Lytechinus pictus: one gene and its partner. The protein of the gene in region 1 interacts with the protein of each later gene in a pairwise test. Links are inferred from orthologs where the notes say so. Each region holds a gene or a part of one and is shown in the gene's direction. Other genes may lie near its edges.

Region 1 (8,003 bases):
CCTTTCCCGGACTTCCATCTATCTGGGGGAGCGTTTCATCAACATTTTCAGATTGGCAGTGAGCAACAGTTACATTGGTTACTGTCAAATAATTCCGGACTTGTTGGATAAAACCTCTGACATGTCCTTTCATAAAACACTCTCCACATGACACTCGCACGTTCACACACGATTTAAAAACAAACACGTGCACATGTTGTAACTGATAATGCCTATAGCATTTTCATTTATTTCAGTGTATGATAAAAGGACATTGATTCCTTTTTTTTAATGCCATGACAGTAGATCGTACCCGGACTTTAGAGTGATTCGCCGTGTGGGTTAGACCCAGCCATGGCACCTCCCATTGACTTTCCCAACATCAATCGTAAGAGTACGCCCTCTAGTGTCATTATTACTATATGGACAGGTCGTACAAAGCATGCTGTCATTGGTGTAATGGCAATGCCCCCCTGGGATATCTTCGTTAATCCAATACTAGGTCTAGTGCAAAGGCCTGGACTAAAAAGAAACTGTGTGTAGGTGATATAGAAGAGCAAATTCAACATGACAGAAGAATGACAGTGCAAGAATTCAGTATTGAATGTAACAAAGATTCACAATAAGAATAGTTTACAAACTCTTACCTTTTGAGGGATGATTAGTCTGAAGAAAATATGTTACGTATCGTCACTATGAGCAAAAAGCTTTGACCGCCTCCATCTTCGAATTCCTTTGAGTACTTGTGCAATCATTTCTCAGTGACGTAAATCCGGTTCCATAATGAGTACGCACGTGGATGTGGTAGTGTGATACCAATAGGGCTTTAATTGGGGTTTGGGGGGCACCCCAAATATAAAGATTCATTATGTTTTGAGAAGTAAAATATAATCCTTTCAAGCATATCTCGATTATTTATGTATTTCCTTCTGATGAATGCTCAGAAATAATGGGAAATGTGTTCCTCGCTAAATATTTAGTGAACTTGCGAGCGAGCAAAGTGAGCGCAAACATTTAGATTGCGTGCTTTTGGAACAAAATGGGTATAAAAGTGACTGAAAAGGCCTGTCTGATAAATCTACTGTGCAAGAAAAATAATAAAAAATAAATAAATTAATTAATTTATTAATGAAATAAATAAATTAATAAATAAAGAAAAAATAATAAATAATTGATAAATAAGTGCAAAAATAAAATAAGAATAAAAAATAAATGAAATAAATGATATTTGTTTATAATAATAACAATAATAATTTTTTTTAATGAATGCTATAAGGTATAAGAGTATATTTCATAAATATATATATGTACATATATATATATATTTTTTCATTCTTACCATTCATAGAAGGAAGGAACAAGTTACTTCCTCCCCCACACGAGTAGAACGGAGAGTTGTGACAACGAAGGGCATGGGAGGGGGGGGGTTATGGTGAGGGGTAGAGGGTAGGGGGACACATGCCATTGGGTTGGAAGGGGGTTTGTATTGTTTTGTTTTGCTTCTGTTTTTTTTTCTTGCTTCTTTGCTATTTTCAAACTCCTTGATATAAAAAAAAAAAAAAGGCTCGGGGGGGGGGGGGGGGGTAGATAGGGTTCAGGTCCAAGACTGATGTTGTTATAGGATATGAAATATTTGAGGAATGAGGCCAAGGTGTTTGGGGGATTCCAAAAGTGACAAAGCCATCAAATCATGTATTTTTTTAATACTTTGTTCGTAGTCATTCGTCTTATTTTCTCATTCTGTTTTTTAAAATACTTTTTCGCCCCCTCCTTAAAATGGATGGGGGGAAGTGGCAATGTGAATTAGACCAAGTGACAATCTCCTTTTTCATCTGATATTACTTTGATTATTCCTCATTTACGCATGAGTGAGCAAAAACAATTTGAAGAAAGGATACCAAAAAGTCATTTGGCGGGGGGTATCTGAATTTCAAAAAGAAATTCACATGCCTAAAAAAGTTCAATATCTGCTCTTTTATTTGATACCTTTATCACAAAAAATGGTCGAGAACAACCAAAAAATTACACGGGGGCGGCGGGCGAATTCGCCCCGGAAAGTCCAAAAAGAGCCCCAGAAAAGGACTAAAAACATTCACACGAGGGCGACTGCAAAACTCATAATCGCCCCCGTCAACACTGTATATTTCACAGTGGCAAATTGTCCATAGACTGTGTACAACGAATAGACCGTCTCGGCTCAGCGAATCGGAGACCGCTGATTGGCCAATCGCGCAGATCACGTCATGACTACGTGGTCGCCAAAATAATTCCTTCGGACTGCGTGCGAAAGTATCGATAGCGATAACGATATCCGGTCACATTGTCTACGCGGGAAATGGTCTTGGTTCGTGATCGGATCGCTCCAGTATCGATCGAAAATTATCGAGACTCGGCAATTTCATGCATATTCACGCGACGCTCCGGATCCGAAACCCGGAAATCAATTGACTTTGTACACGTTGCGATAGACTCTACAAACTCCACGATGCTATATCAACGCTAATTCGTAAGATTTTGACCGAAAATCAAGAAGTAATCGAAATTCGCTTACCTGTTCGGTATCGGTGAGAAAATAGATCCTCCGAGAATACCTTTCATAATTCATATAAATTATAGGAAAGTGAAATTCTAGGTCGATTTTGGTGCGAGGTGATAGAGTATTGTACACTTGTTTTGGTGGAATACTGTGTGGGGCTATGGAAGGCTTGCACTGCGCATGCTTACTATATTTTCATTCATAAATTGGCTCTCGGCAGTGGCTGGATGACGTCATGTAATAAGCAAAATATACACGCCCGCTAGCGTTGAACGCACCGCATGTACAGTACATCTTGTTAAAGCAGAGCCTGCAGCAGAGCAGCCCTGCACTGCTGACCAGCATCCCTTCAATGTGACACACACACACACACACACACAGACACACACACACACACAAACGCAAAAAAGCCGCGAAATAGCTCCAGAAATTGTAGCCCTGGAAAGTGGAAAAAGAGCCCTGGAAAATAAAAAAGTAGCCCTGGAAAATTTTTAAGTTTCTCCAAAAAGAGCCCTGGAAAGAAAAAAAGTAATTTTTTGGTTGGTCGAGAAGTAAAAAAGTTATGTTCCCTCGAAACTATGCTTGTATTTCCATAATTTCATTAGATAAACGTGTTTTCACCGGTTTCCCCACAGAAGCTATCGCATGGTTAACAAAAGACTTAATGCATGGCTGATCGTCAACAAAACGGAGTGTCGAGTGAGTTTGAACGCTAGCCTGTAAAACCTCTTCATTTTATGAAATTATTGAAATTCAAGCCTTATTTCAAATAACCAGAACTTTGTTATTTCTTGACCATTTTCTGTAATAGAGGTATCAAATTAAAGAGCAGATATTGAACTTTTTAAAAATGGGGTTTTCGTTTTGAAACCCAGATACAGCCCGCCAAATGACTTTTAGGTATCCCCTCTTCAAATTGTTTTTGCTCACTCATTTGTGAATGAGAAATAATCTAAGTAATTCCAGATGAAAGAGGAGATTCTAAGCTTTACAATGGTAGGTCATTTGTCTATTGTATTTGTGATTAAGTTATGATAAATCTCGGTTTCGTTTTTTGTGGGACGCACTGTATATATACATGTATATATACTGTTTATTCCTCCACCACACTGACTCACACACCCTCGCACACACTTTTCAAAATATTCAGATGAAAGTATTTGAATAATATACTGAGTTAAATCATATTTTATATCTTATCTGTAACTCGACGGTCCTGAAGCAAAAACCGCTGCGACATTATGCGTTGCGACATGTGACATTATGCGTTGACACTTTGCTGCGACATTATGCGTTGCGACATGTGACGTTATGCGTTAGAAAAACTACGACATTATGCGTTGACTGCGACATGCGTCGGACGCTCTTGGCATAAAGTCGCAATCTGTGACATTATGCGTTGGTGCGACATTATTTTAATGTCACATACACATTTTGAGGGGTTATAAAGTGAATAATGGGGGCAAATTCGGTTTCAAATGTAACTTAATTTGTGTTGTTTTTATCACCACACACTTTCCGAACATTTTACACTGTCATGGTTGAGCGAGCACACTCAAAAACTTAGGAATTAATACTCTTTTTACTGCATAAATGTATTCTTTTCCTAACAATTTCTCAGGATCATTTGAATTTATAGACCAATCAGTGGTGGATCCAGAAGTTGAAAGTGGGGAGGTGCCGAGAAATTGGGGGAGGGGAGCCACTTACATTTTCCAATTTTAACATGTTTTAACAAGTTACATAGGATACTACCATAAACCCCTATGAGAAAAAAAAATGTGCTCACTCAACCATGAACATACATTATCAAAATTTTGTGTGGAGTGGCTAAATGATGGATAGTAAAACAACGTTAACACCATAAAATTCACAAAAAACAACCTTTGCCCAACTTTGTATTAACACTATCTGAAAAACGACTCTTGTGACTTTAAAAAATTGTCATTTTTAATTCAATCTTTGATTACTCGTGTATGACCCAACCGATCAATCTCATTTTCCCCCAGGAGTTGCTTAGTGAGTGTTAAAAACCACCTACGAAATATTATATCTCAAAAATTATTCTGTTCAAAAGTTATAGCATTTTGATTTAGGGGGGACTTTTTTTTTGTGTGTATAGAACAGGCAATATAATTTATGAAGGCTTGTGTGTCTAACATTTAAAATATTTTTGAAAATGAGGGGAAAATGAGGTTAGTGGAATGAAACTAAAGGTTTGAATAATGGGCTAGAATTGCCAACAATATTAAATGTTATTAAAAACAATTTATGTACTCACTTTTTACCTATTTTTCTGTATTGATTGTATTTTACAGATGAGTGGCAGTCAGAAAAGGAAGAGTTATGCTCCTACAGTGGAGCAGCTTAATGCAGACTTTTTGACACAGCTTGGCAGTCGATTTTGGGCTCCAAATAGTCCTACACCACACTTGGCCTATGATCCAAAGGTAGGCATATGGAGATAAATAAATCCAAAATAGTAGATGATTGCTGTGCAGAACTCTTCTTCATTTTGTTTTGATAAAAATAATCCATTGTACCAGAATGTGTATGAATCAGGAATGATGTATGATACATTTTATTGGTTCTTACCACCCATTCCCTGAGATTATAAACTAAATTAAGGTACTGGATTTTAATAAAGAGATGTAAACTGAAGACAACAAGTGAAATCTATTATTCCTACCTATAAGAAGTGGACATTCATACAAAGGAGAAGAAACAGAGGTAAATAAATGAACTCATAATGACTATCATTGGTGTTCTGTTTGTTTATAAGTTGAAAGCAGCAAGAGTATTCATACTTAAATGATTCAGATATTATTTGTGCTTGAAGATTATTTTATTCACGTAAAATAAATGACAGTATGGACAGTCTTTTTATGCCATTTTTGTAATTTTCCATTCATATTGTAATAATTTCAAACCCTTCTCGCAAAATGAATATCTTTGAAAACCCTTCAAAATGTTTAAGAAAATGCTTCTGATTTTAAATGTCAAGATGTATGTATTCTTTTCTTTTATTCACTAGGTGATTGAAGATGTTTACAAGAAAGAACTCTTGAAGAACAAGTAAGATCAAAATGACACTAAGGGAATTTTGTTAAAAGGTTAATAGAATGCGATACAAGCGATATGATAGCATTTTAGGGATGAAGGAGACAAGCAGTCAATTACATAATTGTAAATGATTGCATGATTTATAATAGATTTTGAGATTTTAAATGGATTTTTTTCTGATTTCACTTGCAATTGATTGCAATTTAAAAGTTTCTTGTAATGCCCCAAATTGGAAAAAAATGTTCCATTAAAATTTTGATTATCTTTGTTATTTTCAGTATTGTTAAAAGTCTTAACCAATTACCACTTCACTTGTCCAAGCACTGAAATAAAAACTGTAATTCCTTTGACACTGACTATAAAATGCATATTCAAAATTTCTTGCCTATTCTGTTAATATATGCACTTTCTGTTTCTTGTACATGTTATTTTTTTAAATTTTAATTTGTTTCTTAGTCTACTATCATTTTGTTCTTTGTATAATTTGTATTTTTTATTTGTTATGTTATTTTGTTTCAGTATGAGAGAACCTTCAAAACGCTCAAGTTTCTTGAATTGCCACCTGTGTTTAATGTTATATGTTTTGAAATTGCAATATATGTAATAAATAAAATGAATTTAATTGAATCTCATTTAAAACAAATGATGTGAAAAAAGTAGTGTTTAAGGTTTACCTTACTCATGTATTGGTTGTGTTAAAGAGACGTCTGAGTTTGATTGAATATACATAAAAATAATTAGAAGATGATAAGAAAATTATAAAGGTGTGATCAATAAAAAACAAGTTGTCACCTGTGTGATGTAGAATGCTCAATTTATTTGTACCCCCTCAATTTTCTTTGCACAATTCTAATGGTTTAAACATTTGTTTACATGCAGGTTTGCTGCGCGTCGTATCATGGTGCTCGAGTTCAGCCAATATCTTGAAAACTACTTATGGCCAAACTATGACTCTGAAAAGGTAAGACACAATTGATGGAAATGAAAACTTGTTTTTACAATAATAGTATGCTGTGTGAATTTTTTTTTACTTGCCGAGATGTGTCAAATATACGTTAAAGGCCTTTCTACACAAATAATGGTTTATTAAAACTCTAAAATGAATTGTTGTACATACTACAGAGCTTCCAAGTCTCCCGGATCCTGCGGGAGAATACTGGATTGCGATCCAATCTCCCGTTCTCCCGACCTCATGCCAAAATCTCCTGGATAATCAGGATTTTTAGCTGTTAAATTGCGAAATTCATACAAAAGACTGTTTTACGAGTCTAGCATGTTCAACTCCCTAACACCCACATGGAACCTCCTTATCACATTTTCATTTTACCCAGTAACTTTTACCAGTTTTTGTATAATCGTACATTGATTTCCAATGTAAATGAAGATAATTTTACTGAACGACTGGTGAAGTATTCTAACAAGCCATTTTATTTCCGGGTTCTGCAATGTGTGTGATGAAAACACTTCAGCGGTACTCCATGCACATGGCCCCCGATGCGCCCCGGTGCGGCTCCAGCTGGCCGCGCTGCGCCAGGAAGCTACGATAAGGGAAGTTCACGAGCACTGAGAGGCATTTTTCGTAAGCTTGTGTGCGCTTTATTCGAGCTGAAACTGTGGATCAACGATGGGATTAACAAGTGGATTACTTTTACACCCCGACTTTCAGTTTCAGGAAAAATTTTATTGACAATCCTAAAGAACCAGAAGCAAAGTGGAGATTTTTTCGCCTACTTTCACTTGGGTTGATCGGATACGAACATTTTCTCTTTCGTGAGTGAGCTAGCTTGGTGCTGGCTGGCTGAGCTGTGCGAAGCACGCCCCGCCCCGATTTATCCACACTACAATCGCATCGCCAGTGACCATGGAGATCATGGAGATGGAGTCATCCAAGACCAAGACGACAAAATACGTTTTGAAGTATAAAGATAATTTTCAAGCGGAATGGGACTGTGTGACAATTTTCACAGGAATCCCTCAGAGACTTTAAACAGTCCACATATAAAGCTCATTTACCATGTTTACCACTACTGCAGCCCCTTCCCTCTCTGGCCAATTAAAGGTATTTTCATGTTGAATGCATTCTTTTATAAATTATTTAAAAAATCTACTGTGTTGCCTGAAGTGTATATTTAGTCAATGACAATTCATGAATTCTCTCTAATGTGCATTTAATCTATCAGAATTTTTTTTGATGGTTTAGACAGCTGTCAGTTACTATCAAATGTTGTTTCTTAATGTGTTTTGCTACCCAAAACTCCCATCCGTGGGACAACGTTCCGCCGCTCCCTCACAAAATCATACCTCCGCGAAATCTACTGGATTCTATCTTTCCAATGTTGGCAGCTCTGATACTATTCCAAAGAGACTGCACTCTCATCATGTATCTCCTCTTGCATGTACCTTATAAATTAAGAAGGCAAATGAA
Region 2 (7,994 bases), on another chromosome or scaffold:
AATCGTTTGTCACATGATTAGAATGAGCAAAAAGAGATGTTTTGGGGTATATTTTCAGCGTCCAAAAGGGGAGAGTTGTTCATCTGTGACATCGTAGATCTTGGTCGCATTGCCAATTGGAGGATCTCCATAGCATTAGTGATCTTGACATTCAAATGCTCATAACTCTTCTATTGCTAGTCCTATTTTACTCAAAATTTTGTTGGTCTTATTCTTTGATTTTTCTGCTTTCACAAATGCTAACTAATTGCTCCAAGAGTTTCATTCTCCTTTAATAACTAGTATACCCAGTTGTTTATGAGGCGCCGAATGTACCAATATTATATAGAACAATTATTTGTTATATAATCATTATTTATTAAATAATAACTATTATTTATATATAATTTACATTTTATTTGTAAATAACTACTATTATATAAAATATCATTTCTAATTATTTATATATAATTCCAAGTAATACTTCATTATTTGTAAATAATAATAGTTCGACATTCCATTATTTATAAATAATGATTATTTGTTTTTCATTATTTATAAATAATGATTATTTGTTTTTCATTATTTATAAATAATGATTATTTGTTTTTCATTATTTATAAATAATGATAATTGGTTTTTCATTATTTATAAATAATGATTATTTGTTTTTCATTATTTACAAATAATGATTATTTGTTTTTCATTATTTATAAATAATGATTGTTTTTCATTATTTATAAATAATTTGTTGAGTTTTCTATTATTTATAAATAATGATTATTTGTTAAATAATGAAAACGTCTACTTCATTATTTATAAATAATTTTTTCGAGTGCACCATTATTCTCATTATTTATAAATAATCATTATTTAATGTTCGAGTTTTCCATTATTTATAAATAAAGATTATTTGTTAAATAATGAAATATCTACTTCATTATTTATAAATAATAATTTTGTTTCAATATCCCATTAATCATTATTTATAAACAATTTTTACAGTTTGCCATTATATACAAATAATCATTATTTATATACAAATAACCATTATTTATTAAATAATGCCATTATTTATTAAATAATGCCATTATTTATTAAATAATGCCATTATTTATTAAATAATGGAAAACTCGCTATAACATGCAAATGTGGGACCGCCCATGATATGAATATTCATGATGCGATTTCCTTTTTCGTGATTTTTCTTCACAAATTTTTGTCCATTTCCTCTTCATAATGACATTTCTTGAAGCAATTTTCTAGGGATATGGTCTGATTGTAATATTCTTCATTTTCTATATAACTTCGTCTTCGTAGAAATATCAAAAAGTGTAATTTTATACGATTTTTCCTACAGTTCACAATCCCCATAGGCGCGCGTGTACGGTAGGGACAACCGGTGAATCGACGGAGTGCTCTTCATCGAAATACTACGTTGGTTGGTCCCCGGAAGTGGCGGGCGGAATTTAGCCCGAATCCTCGATGGAAGTCGATCAAGTGCATATGAGCTGAGAGAGTGAAATATCAGTGTACTTGTACAGGCCCTTCTACTTTTTATAAATATTTCTTGTTGCTTTTTTTGTTAAGTTAATTTTTCCTGGTGTAGAGATAAGTTTCAGTTCTAATAATGCACTTCAAATACATTTTGGAGTGTCTGTTTGAGGCGTTTGGGGCGATTTCACCCTGGCCCCAAAATGCTCGCAACGACAATACGGGGGCATGATGACCCCTAAATTTTAAAAAACTTATTTTTCTATTGAAAATTATCACAAAATTCACCAAAAGTGTGCACGAAAGCCTTCGTATTTCACTTTTAAAACTCCAAAAGTGCCCAAATGACAAGCTTGGTCGCTTCGCTGTGTCGCTTTCAACTTGAGAACGTTTACGCGTCTGCTTCGATATCCCCCCCCCCCCTCCTCCGAAAGAAATTCTGTATACGGCCATGCTCTAAAGAGCCTGGCACATTGATTTATGTATACTTTCATTTTCATTATTTTTATCTCATTATCAACATGGCCTTACGCATAATTTTTTCCAGGGGGGCCGGGGCCGGAGCATGACGTACGCGCGTAAACTTTCTCATAAAAATCTTGAAAAAGCGAAGCGACCAAGCTTGTCATTTGAGCTTGGTCGCGTCGCTGTCTCGCTTTCAAGATTTTTTTGAGAAACTTTACGCGTGTCCTAGCTGCTCCCCCCCCCCCCCCCGGTAAAAATTCTGTGTAAGGCCATGATGATAATGTGATAAAAATAATGAAAATGAAAAGTACATATAAATCAATGTGCCATATGCTCTTTTGAGCATGGCCGTTCACAAAATTGTTTTCGGGGGGTGGGGGCAGACGCGCGTAAACGTTCTCAAGTTGAAAGCGAGACAGCGAAGCGACTAAGCTTGTCATTTGGGCTTGGTCCCGTGGCTGTCTCGCTTTCAAGATTTTTTTGAGAAAGTTTACGCGCGTCATGCTCCGGCCCCGGCCCCCCTGGAAAAAATTATGTTATACCGAGGTTGTTTTACCTGACTGCTAAGAAAGCACGAATGCCTGTGAGCAAGCAACCAGTGGACCAACGGCTTAAGGTCCTCTCCGAGGGACCTGGTAATGAGGATAAATGCCTTACCAAAGGGCACTAGCGCACCACTTGGGAATCGAACCCGGGTCACCGGAATCCGAAACCCCCGCTCTACCGACTGAGCTATCGCGCCTCCCTCATGCGTAAGGCCATGTTGATAATGAGATAAAAATAATGAAAATGAAAGTATACATAAATCAATGTGCCAGGCTCTTTAGAGAATGGCCGTATACAGAATTTCTTTCGGAGGAGGGGGGGGGGGATATATCGAAGCAGACGCGTAAACGTTCTCAAGTTGAAAGCGACACAGCGAAGCGACCAAGCTTGTCATTTGGGCACTTTTTGGAGTTTTAAAAGTGAAATACGAAGGCTTTCGTGCACACTTTTGGTGAATTTTGTGATAATTTTCAATAGAAAAATAAGTTTTTTTAAATTTAGGGGTCATCATGCCCCCGTATTGTCGTTGCGAGCATTTTGGGGCCAGGGTGAAATCGCCCCAAACGCCTCAAACAGACACTCCAAAATGTATTTGAAGTGCATTATTAGAACTGAAACTTATCTCTACACCAGGAAAAATTAACTTAACAAAAAAAGCAACAAGAAATATTTATAAAAAGTAGAAGGGCCTGTACAAGTACACTGATATTTCACTCTCTCAGCTCATATGCACTTGATCGACTTCCATCGAGGATTCGGGCTAAATTCCGCCCGCCACTTCCGGGGACCAACCAACGTAGTATTTCGATGAAGAGCACTCCGTCGATTCACCGGTTGTCCCTACCGTACACGCGCGCCTATGGGGATTGTGAACTGTAGGAAAAATCGTATAAAATTACACTTTTTGATATTTCTACGAAGACGAAGTTATATAGAAAATGAAGAATATTACAATCAGACCATATCCCTAGAAAATTGCTTCAAGAAATGTCATTATGAAGAGGAAATGGACAAAAATTTGTGAAGAAAAATCACGAAAAAGGAAATCACATCATGAATATTCATATCATGGGCGGTCCCACATTTGCATGTTATATAGCGAGTTTTCCATTATTTAATAAATAATGGCATTATTTAATAAATAATGGCATTATTTAATAAATAATGGCATTATTTAATAAATAATGGTTATTTGTATATAAATAATGATTATTTGTATATAATGGCAAACTGTAAAAATTGTTTATAAATAATGATTAATGGGATATTGAAACAAAATTATTATTTATAAATAATGAAGTAGATATTTCATTATTTAACAAATAATCTTTATTTATAAATAATGGAAAACTCGAACATTAAATAATGATTATTTATAAATAATGAGAATAATGGTGCACTCGAAAAAATTATTTATAAATAATGAAGTAGACGTTTTCATTATTTAACAAATAATCATTATTTATAAATAATAGAAAACTCAACAAATTATTTATAAATAATGAAAAACAAATAATCATTATTTATAAATAATGAAAAACAAATAATCATTATTTGTAAATAATGAAAAACAAATAATCATTATTTATAAATAATGAAAAACCAATTATCATTATTTATAAATAATGAAAAACAAATAATCATTATTTATAAATAATGAAAAACAAATAATCATTATTTATAAATAATGAAAAACAAATAATCATTATTTATAAATAATGGAATGTCGAACTATTATTATTTACAAATAATGAAGTATTACTTGGAATTATATATAAATAATTAGAAATGATATTTTATATAATAGTAGTTATTTACAAATAAAATGTAAATTATATATAAATAATAGTTATTATTTAATAAATAATGATTATATAACAAATAATTGTTCTATATAATATTGGTACATTCGGCGCCTCATAGTTGTTGTGTGTCCGGACGATCAATTTTAGAAAGTCATTTGGAACAATTTACAAGGGAAGTTTTATCAATTTTTAGTACAAAATGTCAGGAAATATTATAAAGAACCAAATAGAAGATGATTACAACTATTGATTTCGTATTTTTAGTGTAATCCAAAGACAAAAAAGAAGGCTTCAAAAATATAAAGTGTCCGGACACCCGACCCCCCATCCTACTAACGTAAAATAATATGCTTTGATCCAATTGATCCTTATACAAAAAATCCAAAGTTAGCCTTACAGGGGCCGCTGAACGGGGAGTGGGAAAATAGCATTTTACAGTACGAGAGCAGCCATGTACAGAAATGTGAAAATTGAACACCAAATTTTGTGTATTAACCCCCTGCTAGCTCTCTCCGCATATTTTTTCCTCCGTTCTAACTTTGGACTTATGCTGGCGCCCTTGACGTTACCGCACCGTTCGTAGACAAAATGGCAGCCTCCAGTGGGAAAAAGAAGGTAGATCTTCGGGAGTTAATGAGACAGCAAAAGGCTGCAAAGCAAAGCAGTGTCAAGAGAATTGAATCACCATTAGCAAAATATCCTTTAAAATAGTATTTCAGGCAAGAAATTAATAAATTCGGCCATTGTCAGAGCTAAAGCCTCGAGTTATTTTACTGTCTTGAATTATTGTAGTCCCATGTTATTAAGTTTACGTTGGTCATTTGATTGGCGTTTACTCAAAACGGTTTAGGTAGGGACACTCACACGTATTGCGAGGTTAGTATTACTATTAGTATAGGTAGGGAGTTCGGTGATTTTTTTAAAATCTTGAAGAATCCCAACAAATTTGATATCATTGGAAAGCTTGTGAAATAAGAAAAATAATGGTGCTTCATTTAACTCATTGTCTGATATATTGACGGAGATATTCCAATTTACAGGGGAAAATATGCAGATTTTGTTCTGTCAAATTTTTTTTAAAGGCTTGTTTGAGTGGGGGAGACAGTTGCTTTTTGAAATCTTGAAGGAATCCCAACAAATTTGGTACCAATGGAATGCTTGTGAAATAAGAAAAAGAATGGTGCATAAATCGACTCATGATGACAAATATTGACAGAGATATTTCTGTTTAAACGGTAGAATGTGCAGATTTTATTTACAGCAAAAAGTAGATTTTCATAACTTACACAAAATGCAATGAATGGGACTGTGCAATACTTTTTTAAAAAGTGCAATGCGCTGCTTTGCGGGGCAAGGCATTCCCTTGAATTATACATCATTTTATTCATTAAACTTCAAAGTTTCTCATGGTATAGGTTTCTATAGGGTTTTTCCTCCTCCTTTAAATTTAATGGCTTCATATTTGTTTTGTACATGGGTGCACAGACAGATACAAATTCTGAAAGTGGCATTTTCACCGAACTCCCTAGTTTAGGTTTGACTATTAATATTAGTTTAGGGTCTAGTATTAGTCTTAACTTGGTGAATTCGCTGCTATTTTTGTTTTACTCGAGAAAGGCATGCATCGTATTGCCAAATTCCTTGTTGTGTTCAGCTGCCATAAAATTTAAATCGGCCAGTGCAACTCAAGGCTAAGCAAATATTTATTTACTTAGTCTTAGCCCAGCCCGGCCCAGTCTCTTTTTATTATTATTTTACTGTCCGAATAATCTAGAGAAAGTTTCTATCTGATACCTGTCTGGTCAAAACACAAAAATTTAGATCCTCTAAATCTATTTTCTTTTGTATAAATTCACAATTGATCAGCTTTATGAAACCCCTACCCAGGTCTAGTTGATCTTGATGGATGGATAAAATGATAGAGTAGTAAATGTAAATATTGTTGGTCATGTTACTTAGTCTTAGTGCAAAGAAAGTTGCAAAATTTAGTTTTATTTCAAATTAATAATTTAAAAGTTAGGAACAGTTACTCCTGCAAGTTTTCATCACGTTTACTAGGGACCATGATATTGTGATATAATTTGGGGTATTATAAGAGATGATAGTTATGGGATGATCAAAATAATATTATCATTGTCAATGAATATGACAGAAATAGAAGAAAGATCTTGGCAATTACAATTTCGATTTATGGAATTACATCCAGGCATTCACTAAGACACAATTCAGGGGATCCAGTTGTAAAATTATTGTGAAAAATCAATGTTTTGAACAGACTACAGAGTTGCAGTTGTAATGCTATTTTGTGATTGAAATGGTCATAGCTTGCGAGTTTTTGTTTATTTTGTTCTGGATATCTGATAAAGGTCAAACTTAATGTTTTGTTAAGAACTAAATAATTCCTTAACACTGACATACGTATAACAACCTTGGTCAGTTAATCTGTGTAGTTTGTAATCAGCAGGTGAAGAATGAAATACTGTGGACAGCTCATATTCAAGGAAAGAAACATAAAGATGTAAGTAATATATATTCTACATAATTTGTATTTCTCCACCTCCTTTTTCTTCCCCATCTCCTTTCTATTTTGTATCATCACCTTCACTATTTTTTCTTGATTATAATTACAAATAATTTGTTTTTTCACCCCATGACAGGATTATTCATCATTCTCTCTTTTTTTTTTACTTGAGGCTTTTCATGATTCATTAGTCAAGAAACAATTCCTCTTTTATATGCATAAAGTTTCATGAACATAGTTGCAGTCAGTGTGCTCTTTAATATAAGTTCAAACTGATTCCTTTTTGTCTCACCTGCATAGCAGTGTGAGACTATAGGCACCACTTTTTTTATGGCGACGGCGTCAACACCAAAACTTAACCAAAGGTTAAGTTCTTGTTATGACAGCATAACTTAGAAAGTATATGGACCTAGTTCATGGAACTTAGACATAAGGCTGATCAAATATTACTGAACATTTGCCAGAGTTTTAAGTCACATGACCAAGGTCAAACGTCATTTAGGGTCAATGAACTTTAGCCAAGTTGGGGTTATCTGTTGAATTACCATCTTATCTTTTATAGTTTATGGATCTGATTCATGAAACTTGGACATAAGAGTAATCAAGTGTCACTGAATATCATGTGTGAGTTTCAGTTCACATGATCAAGGTCAAAGGTCATTTAAGGTCATTGAACTGTGGCCAAGTTGGGGGGTATTTGCTGAATTACCATCATAACTGAAAGTTTATGGATCTGATTCATGAAACTTGGACATAAGAGTAATCAAGTATCACTGAACATCCTGTGCGGGTTTCAGGTCACATGACTAAGGTCAAAGGTCAATGAACTTTGGCCATGTTGAGGGTATCTGTTGAATTACCATCATAACTTTGAAAGTTTATGGATCTGATTCATGAAACTTGGACATAAAGAGTAATCAATTATCACTGAACATCCTGTGCGAGTTTCAGGTCACATGACCAAGGTCAAAGGTCAATGAACTTTGGCCATGTTGGGGGTACGTGTTGAATTACCATCATAACTCCAAAAGTGTATGGATCTAGTCCATAAAACTTGGACATAGAGTAATCAAATATCACTGAACATCTCATGCGAGTTTCGGGGCACATGACCAAAGCCAAATGTCATTTAAAGTCAATGAACTTTGGCCACTTTGGAGGTAATTATTATATTACTGCCATGA

What was found.
Region 2: the proteins of RNA helicase aquarius-like (region 1) and zinc finger protein 830-like interact in a two-hybrid assay, tested with the Homo sapiens proteins (2 studies listed by BioGRID and IntAct, with this or other methods). The link is inferred for Lytechinus pictus from reciprocal best matches to the Homo sapiens genes AQR and ZNF830.

The regions. Positions count from the first base shown.
Region 1 is NC_087251.1:14,776,683-14,784,685, reverse strand, and holds the start of RNA helicase aquarius-like, read left to right. Parts: upstream 1-4,831; 5' UTR 4,832-4,833; coding exon 4,834-4,965; intron 4,966-5,549; coding exon 5,550-5,590; intron 5,591-6,457; coding exon 6,458-6,539; intron 6,540-8,003.
Region 2 is NC_087247.1:42,395,449-42,403,442, forward strand, and holds the start of zinc finger protein 830-like, read left to right. Parts: upstream 1-4,833; 5' UTR 4,834-4,877; coding exon 4,878-4,984; intron 4,985-6,707; coding exon 6,708-6,807; intron 6,808-7,994.